2 linked regions of the Rattus norvegicus genome follow. The main gene of each other region encodes a partner of the protein of the gene in region 2 in a complex. Each region holds a gene or a part of one and is shown on either strand. Other genes may lie near its edges. The genes, in order: P2rx4 and Ap2m1.

Region 1 (3,808 bases), on a different chromosome or scaffold from region 2:
CCTGCAACCCCAGTTCCAGGGGGATCTGACGCCATCTTCTGACTTCTGCTGGCACTGCACACACGTGCTACACTGCGGGTACACACACAGGCACTTGTTCATGCCAAAGGGGTTGGGGATTTAGCTCAGTGGTAGGGTGATCGCCTAGCAAGCGCAAGGCCCTGGGTTCCCCTCCTTGGCTGGAGGAGGGGGTTGGGAGGGGGAGCATGCTAAAGGCTGGGTGTGATGGTGTGTGTGCCTTTAATTAGAGCAGGAAGCTGAGCCAGAAGGATCTGTGAGTTCAAGGCCGATCTGTTTACACAGTAAGTTCTGGGTTCATCAGATCAGGGCAAGCATAGTGAGACATTCGAAAACAAATAAATACCAAAAGACTCTAGAGAAGAGTCTGGGAGCCAGTAACGTAACGGTATCAGCAGAAGTCAGAAGAGGCCATCAGATCCCCTAGAACTGGGGAACTGCCAATGGTTGTGAGCCACCACAGAGGTGCTGAAAACTGAACCCAGGTCCTTTGGAAGAGACTAGCTTGAAGTCCTTGCTTTCCCTTTCCTAGCTCCAAGCCAAGTGCTCATAGCTCACGCAATGTGGCCACCAAACACACCAAGCCAGCCCATCAGCTGCCAGCACACCAGCCGTGTGGAAGGAGACTGGAGGGTGGGGCCTGGCCAAGGGGCTCATAGCCGAGTCAATGTTTAACCTGGGCTGGAGATCTGACTCAGCAGTAGAGCGCTTGGCTAGCATGTGTGAGGCCTCTGGCGCTAGAAAAAAGAGACCTTACTCTCAAGAGCTTGGAGACATGAAGGTGTGGGAAAGACAGAGTATTGGGTTGGAGCCAGCCACACTACAGAGCTCTCTCTAGAGCTCTCAAGGGTTCTGTGGAAGAAATGACATCCCAGGGAGATCTGGTGACTGTATTGCCTGCTTGGGCTAAAACAGCCTGGGCCCGGAGGTGGCGAACTGGGGCCACTCACTGTATGTGGACAAAGTCAGCAAAGGGCTTCCTGCGCACAGATGTCACGCCAAGCCATACCTGAGCTGGAATCACATAGTCCGCCACGTCCCAGATCCGGAATCCAAGCTGAGAGGTGTTGGTCACAGCCACACCTTTGGCTTTGGTTGTCACCGAGCTGACCACGGAGTCCGTTTCCTGGTAGCCCTTTTCCCACACGAACACCCACCTGTGAAAGACAGTAGGTCATAGGGACGGTAAATTCGAACTGGCACCGGGGAGTCTCCGATAGCCACAGGACTGAGGTGTGGCATTTACCAACTATGTGAATGGAAAAAGCTGCCCAACGTCTACACTCTGCTACCGTGAACAGGCGTAGTAGTCCCACTGGTTATTTGTGGGAAATGAAGGCCGGGGTTGGCGAGCCCAGTCGTCGAGTATCCAGGAGATACAGAGTGAACGTTACCTTTATTCCTGGATGTCTGAAGAGCCTCTAAACACTCTGATCTATGGGACTCACCAAAAGTAGGTTATCAGAACAATAGTTTCCACTTGATTTGCACACAGTAGGTCACTTAGTCCCAACCACTTTATGGGGCACATAGCATTGTTCTTACCTACAATGTATAGATAGGAGCAGGGGCAAAGAATGTCTAAGCCAAGCGCTCCTATGGTCATATCGGTAGCAAGCAGCAGGGGAGGGATTTGAACCCAAGCCAGAAAAACCTCTGAGACGTTATTGTCTCCAGACAAGAGAACCTTATCTTTGAGGCAACTTTGGGTGTTTAAGACAGGCTTTTGCTACGTAGCCCTGGCTGATCGGGTGCCGGCTTTGAGGCTCAGGGTAGACTCAGACTCTGAGGTAGCAATCCTCCCACCTCAGACTCCCAAGTGCTGGGACTGTAGGGTGAGCCACTCTACCCAGCTGTTGGTTGGTGTGTGGTGTGTGGGTATTTGTGGGTGGGTGTGGCTCCCGTGTCAAAGTCAGACGACAACTTTTAGAAGTTGATTTTCTCCCTCGCAGATTCTGGGGACCAGATTCAAGTTGTTGGGCTTGTAATAGCAGTCACTTTGGTTTTTTTTTTTTTTAGACAGGGTTTCTCTGAGTAGCCCTGGCTGTCCTCTGTAAACCAGGCTGGCCTCGAACTCACAGAGATTTGCCTGCCTCTGCCTTCTGATTACCGGGACTAAAGGCGTGCACTTCTACATCAGTCTAGCAAGCACTTTTTCAGACACAGTCTTGCTGTGTGGACTATGATGGTATTCACTATGTAGCCCAGGCTGGCCTTGAACTCCCTAAAATTCACCTGCTTCTGCCTCCTGAGTGCTGGGATTAAGGACACGTGCTGCCGCCACGGCTGGCTTCCTTCCACCTTGTCTCTTTGAGACAGGATCTAACTGGGGCTGGATGATTAGGCTAAGCCATTGAGTGCCAGGGTCCTAGCTGTGTCTGCCTCCCCAGGGCTGGGATTACAGGCGTGTGATTCAGCACCTCATTCTGGGGATCAAACTCTGGTCGGCCAGCTTTGTGCATTGAGTACTTCACTGTCTGAGCTCTCCCCTCAGCCCCTCGGGGAAACTTTTTATTTATTTATTTATTTTTTTTTTCAGAGCTGGGGACCAAACCCAGGGCCTTGCGCTTGCTAAGCAAGTGCACTACCACTGAGCTAAATCCCCAACCCCCGGGGAAACTTTTTACAGTCCCATCTTTTCCCCCCAGGGATTCTGGTCATCTCCTGCTCCTTCCTTCTAAAGGAAGGGCATTGCCCCTGGGCTGAGTTAACTACACACCTGAAGGCATCTGTCTGTGTGACGGGGTCACTGGGTCACTTAATTGCTCCGCACCTCAGCTTGTCCTGCCTTTACACTGAAGGATAACAGAACTTTACAGGGTTTCAGGGAGATAAGTTAATAAGACGAGAGCAGTTATCTTAAGCACTGCCGGGCAGTCTGAACACTGCCAAGCTGCCGTCACATTGCTACAGAACACCAGTCTGTTACTCCAGATACACCTCGAGCGACTTCAGAAATAGGAACTCGGTTACCTTCTCTCTCTCTCTCTCTCTCTCTCTCTCTCTCTCTCTCTCTCAAGATCGAGTTTCTCTTTGTAGCCCTGGCTGCCTTGCAACATACTCTGTAGACCAGGCTGGCTTCCAATCAGAGATCCGTTGGCCTCTGCATCCTCAGTACTGGGACTAAAGGTGTGCACCCCTACTGCCTGGCTCTTGGGTTACTTTCTCCTGGGTTTGTTTGATCCTCGATCCTCTGCCCATCCTAAAGATGGTTTCTCTCCCACTGAGTCCTCTCCTACGGGGCTTCCAGGAAGCCAACAGCACCGGTGTTTCCCTGTAATCCACTCTGGTGGAGAGGTGAGGGCCGAAAGCCTTCGGGTTTCCTGACTCCGTACACCGAGGTGCTGAATCAGGAAGGGGAGATGATGCCATCACCACAGGCTTAGTTATTTGCTCGTCACGTGAAGAAGATCACAGGGAATTCTGAGGAGACTCGCTTCATGCAGAAAGAGGTCACACTTTTCACCAAGATTAATGAAGCCAGGAAGTTAACAAAGGCCAGGGTGTGATGAGTTGCCCAGCACTCAGGAGGCTAAGGCATAAAACTCACTTTGCGGATTCCTTGGCCAGCCTGGATTACTTAGTGAGTGCAGGGTTACCCAGGCTGCAGAGCTGGGCTCTGTCTCAAAACAACAAAAGCTAAAAGCTAAAAGCTTAAAACCAAGTCCTGAGGGGTTGGGGATTTAGCTCAGTGGTAGAGCGCTTGCCTAGCAAGCGCAAGGCCCTGGGTTCGGTCCCCAGCTCCAGAAAAAAGAAAAACAAAACAAAACAACAACAACAAAAAAAAAGT
Region 2 (4,345 bases):
GAGAGAGAAGTGAGGCTGCAGTGACTCTTTGTAAGACCTGAGGTCTTAGGCGCTACCCAGGTCCACCCGGATGAACTACAAAGGCAGCATGACCCACAGAGCGCAGCCTGTTCACAACCAGGGAGGGTCCAGAAGAACAGAAAACAGCTGAGTCAACAGACTAGAGAGGGGTTTTAAGGGGATCTAGGGAAGGCTCTCAGTATGAGAAGGATTTGAAAGCAAGATTTAGATGGATTAGTACCACCGAGCACACACTAACCACACCCACAGGAGATAGTGCTCCCTCCTGAAAGGAAGAATCAACCTGACCAGGCAAAAGCACTCATCTTCAGCCACCAGACCAGACCTACAGGGAGCAGGAAGGGCAGGAGTTCCTAACCCTAGGGGGTGGAGGTGTCATCCCCAGGCCCTGAGCCTAGCAGCTGGGCCGATGCCCAATGGAACCAGGCTATATTGCATGCTCAGGCTGAGGCGATGGGGGGGCTGGGGCACAGCGTGCTCAGGCAGGGGACTTACCCGATGTCATCTCTGTAGACTCGGGAGATAAGCACCTCCCCCTTGTGATTATAGATGAATAAGCCTCCGATCATGGCGGCAGCTCAGTCTCTGTGACCCATTGCTCTGAGAACAGACCTAGGTAGGAAAGGTGGGGATAGGGAATGGGGAAATCTTTAGATCCCTTGCCCATCTCAGCGGGGCTGTACAGGGCTGCCTTTTTTCCTGACTCAGTCCTCTAGCAAGTGACCCTGCAGCCCTCCCAAGGAAGCCCCGCCTGCACGCACAGCGAGGCTCCAGTTCCTGTTTATTCCACACTGGATAGGAGACAGTACTTTAAGTGTGGGGCCCAGGGTTAAGGCCATTTTACTCAGTCTTTTCTGAGGGCTGAGCTTGAAAGTAACCACCCCCCCACCCCCACTCGCACCCCTCCCCGTCGTCTTCACAATGCTGAGCTCAGCTAAGATTCTTTTCAAACCCCTGCTGTGCAGACTCTCACTCCCCGCAACTTCAGTGAGTCAGAGAAAAGCTTGCCCGCGGATGCAGGAATGGCGGTAGGGATTAGGCGGTAGGAGTTAGCTTGTGCCCGCCACCAGGCATAACTTTTAGAGCAAGCACTATTCTTCCAAGAAGGCAGCAGAGCATGACCGTCTACAAGGCTACACATTCCAGGAAAGGGTGTGCAGAGTGAGGTGGGGGTGGGAGAAGAGGCCCTTAGGCTCTAACACAAACCCAGGAATGTGGCTGAAGCAGGCTCGTCTTCCCCAGGCAGTGAGATAAGCAGGCAAAGGAACAGAGAGGCCCAGGGCGAACAAACCACGCTCCAATGCTCCCAAGTTCTTCTTAGAAAGATTTCATTTTTACCTTCACATAGGTATGCCAATGTGTGTGCTGTGTGTGTGGAAGTCTAGACGTCAGGTGGAGCCCTGCCCTCCATCCCACAAGCCTGAGTTACAGGCAGTACTGAACCAAACGACATGGGCTGAGACCTGAACTCAGGTCTTCTGGAAGAACAGTAAGGACTCTGAAATGCCAAGTCCCTCTTTCCTTTCTTTTCTTTCTTTCTTTCTTTCTTTCTTTCTTTCTTTCTTTCTTTCTTTCTTTCTTTTTGAGCCCCCTTTACAATTATTTCTGGTCACTGTCTTATCAAAATTTCAAAATGTGACAAAAATTAGGTCTGTATGTAGCATTAATCCTGCTAAATTGTGACTCCAGAGCTGCCAAGTCAGTCACTTCTGGCCTGGTGTTTACTAAGCAATGGGCAAGGTAACAGAATGTCTCAACTGCCCAAATTCATTTGGGTCAAAATTAATTTAGAATATTTAAGAAAATAGGTTAATCTGGTTCTAGATTTTTCTGGATTAACCCTGGTATTAATTTCACTGATGTTAGTCTAACAAGACTTTCTGAAACTGAAAAGTTAACCCTTGAAACCCAGTCACAAGTCAACTAAGGTAGTGGACACACTTGTCTCACAGTTCAAAGAAGGTGAGAAAGAAAATGCAAAATGGAGGTTGTCCCCTGAGCAAAGGACCAAGTCCACAGGTATCAGCCGAGGGTGGGAGTGGTGGTGGAGGTGGAGGTGGCTGTGGTTGTGGTGTGTGTGTGTGTGTGTGTGTGTGTGTGTGTGTGTGTGTGTGTGTGTTGTGTCCTGGACAGAAATGGAATATTTAGTTAAGGGACCGATTAGCTGTAATTGCTAGCAATAGACCAGGATGACCCCACAGCAGCAAATACAGCTGTGGGAGTCCCTCAAGTTCTCCTATGACAAAGGTCATAGGAGCTTTGGAGGAGCAAAACAAGGCGAAAAGATAGACAGTAGAAAAAGAGAAAGCTGAGAGATAGGGCCTACTCTTCTTTTAGTGAAGCATGAGGGGTTGGTGGAGTTTTTCTCAGCAGAGGGGGGAGACATCTAGGCCGAGGAGATGTCACCAAGGGATGCGGGGGCTGTCATAGGTCTGAGGTAGAAGAGCAGTGGGGGGTAAACCAGGAGGAAGGAATCTCTCAGTGTTCCAGAGAGACCTGTCACTGTCCAAGGGAGTGGCACCAGGGGATGTCAATGTCCTGGGGGATGGGAGAATGGGAAACCTCGGGGTTGAGCGGTTGTCAGGATTCTAGGGATGGGGCGCCGCGCGGGGTCCCCGGCTCTAGGATTCCGGCCCGAGTCTCCTCCCGGAGACGCCCAGCGGGTTACTGGAGGGCGTCGTTCCCCGCCCTTGCTGCAATCGCGCCCAAGGCACCCCCGCCCGGTCGTCTGCTCCCTCCCGGGTCTGGAGGCTGAGGCCACTCCCGGGTGCGGGCAGTTTTCCACCCAGCACAGTGCGGGGCAGGGCAGGTGACCACGGCACCCTCGCCGCCCGGTAAGGATCTCTAAGTCAAGCTTCCCAGCTCACCTGGAGTCAGCAGCCCCCACAAGGCAGGCCTGGCCACTCTCGGATCCCAAGATGTCCGCCCGCCCCCAGCTCGCCTGTCTGCTGCCTCCGCTTTCACTGCAGTGCTCCCGCCCCGCCCCGCCCCGCCCGCAGCTGCGCCTGCGCGCTCACCTCCAGCGGCGACTACAAGTCCCGTCAGTCTCCGAAGCTTTCAAGCTGACACATCCGAGTGCCCTAAGTCTAGCAAAACTACAACTACCGACAGCCTTCGAGACAGAGTCGACGTCGGCCTCAGTGCGTCTTGCTGGCAACACGGGTCATGGTACGCTCCACAGACTATTTGCTTCACTGAGAATCACGGGAAGTGTAGTCTCTGTAATCCTTCTCGTTCCTAGTTAGAGGAGGTAGGCTTTAAGAGACCAAAGCTGTTTGTTGAAACCAATTGTAAATTTTGAATTATTAGATTTTTATTGTCTCCAGATTTCGAAGAGTGGCTATATTCACTTTACAAACACAACTTGCATAAGCCCGTTACTGCTGAATTTATTGCTTTTTAACACATTTGATTCTCCCGAGGTTTTATATATATTCCAGGATAGGACTGAGCCCTTTCTCAGGGATAATTATCCAAACAGAAAGGCTGGGAAGGAAAGCACTAATTCTTGGTAAAACATTAGTGTTTTTCTCAGCAAAATCTGTGACTGTGGTGTGCTGGTGACATATGCCGTTAATTCCAGAGCTCTGAAGGCAGAGGCAAGAGCATCTCTGTGAATTTGAGGCCAGCCTGGTCTAAATAGGGAGTTTCAAGACATCCCAGGCTACAAAAGGGAGCCTGTTTGTCCACCACTCCAGTTTAGTTGGGCATGGGATTTTAAAATCCCATTTCTCATCTGGGCAGTGGTGGCACATGCTTTTAATCTCAGCACTCAGGAGGCAGAGGCAGAGGCAGAGGCAGGCAGATCTCTGAATTCAAGGCCAGCCTGGTCTATAGATCGAGTTCTAGGACAGCCAGGGATATACAGAGAAACCCTGTCTCAACCTTAAAAAAAAAAAAAAAAGATTTCTTATGATATCCAAACTGAGAATGAGGCAGAACCAACCCGAACACAAACGGCTGTCTGATTTTTGCCAAATCTAGAAAAGTTGGTTTTTCTCTCAGTGGACAGAGACATCTGTTGCCTAAACAGGCCAGAGACTTCTATGGCAGAAAGGAAGGGGTGGGTGTTCAAATCTGGTTGCTAACCCTACTATTCCTAGCAACCTCCTTCCAGAAGCCAAAACCCAGAAACTTGTAACCTTTGAAGGCTTCATGTCTATCTTCACAAAAGCTTTCTCTTCCCAACATACCCTAAAAGTTTAGAGTAAATTAGTGATAACAACAACAACAACATAGAAATAGAAATAGTAATAATAATAGCTACCATTTATTGAGCACCTACTCTATTATGTGCCAGGCACTGTGCTAGGCACTTTTCGTA

The links.
Region 1: the proteins of Ap2m1 (region 2) and P2rx4 are in contact, whole or in part, in a crystal structure (PDB 2BP5), measured with the Rattus norvegicus proteins. Residues at the interface, in NP_446289.1 of Rattus norvegicus: Phe174, Leu175, Asp176, Lys203, Asn217, Leu316, Ala317, Gln318, Lys319, Glu391, Val392, Pro393, Lys400, Val401, Arg402, Tyr403, Leu404, Ile419, Lys420, Trp421, Val422, Arg423, Tyr424, Ile425; in NP_113782.2 of Rattus norvegicus: Val375, Glu376, Asp377, Tyr378, Glu379, Gln380, Gly381, Leu382, Ser383, Gly384.

What each region holds. Positions count from the first base shown.
Region 1 is NC_086030.1:39,516,292-39,520,099, forward strand, and holds part of P2rx4 (P2X purinoceptor 4), read right to left. Parts: intron 1,176-3,808; coding exon 1,028-1,175; intron 1-1,027. UniProt on the Homo sapiens protein: ATP-gated nonselective transmembrane cation channel permeable to potassium, sodium and calcium. CTP, but not GTP or UTP, functions as a weak affinity agonist for P2RX4.
Region 2 is NC_086029.1:93,865,565-93,869,909, forward strand, and holds the start of Ap2m1 (AP-2 complex subunit mu), read right to left. Parts: upstream 2,917-4,345; 5' UTR 2,889-2,916; intron 634-2,888; 5' UTR 591-633; coding exon 517-590; intron 1-516.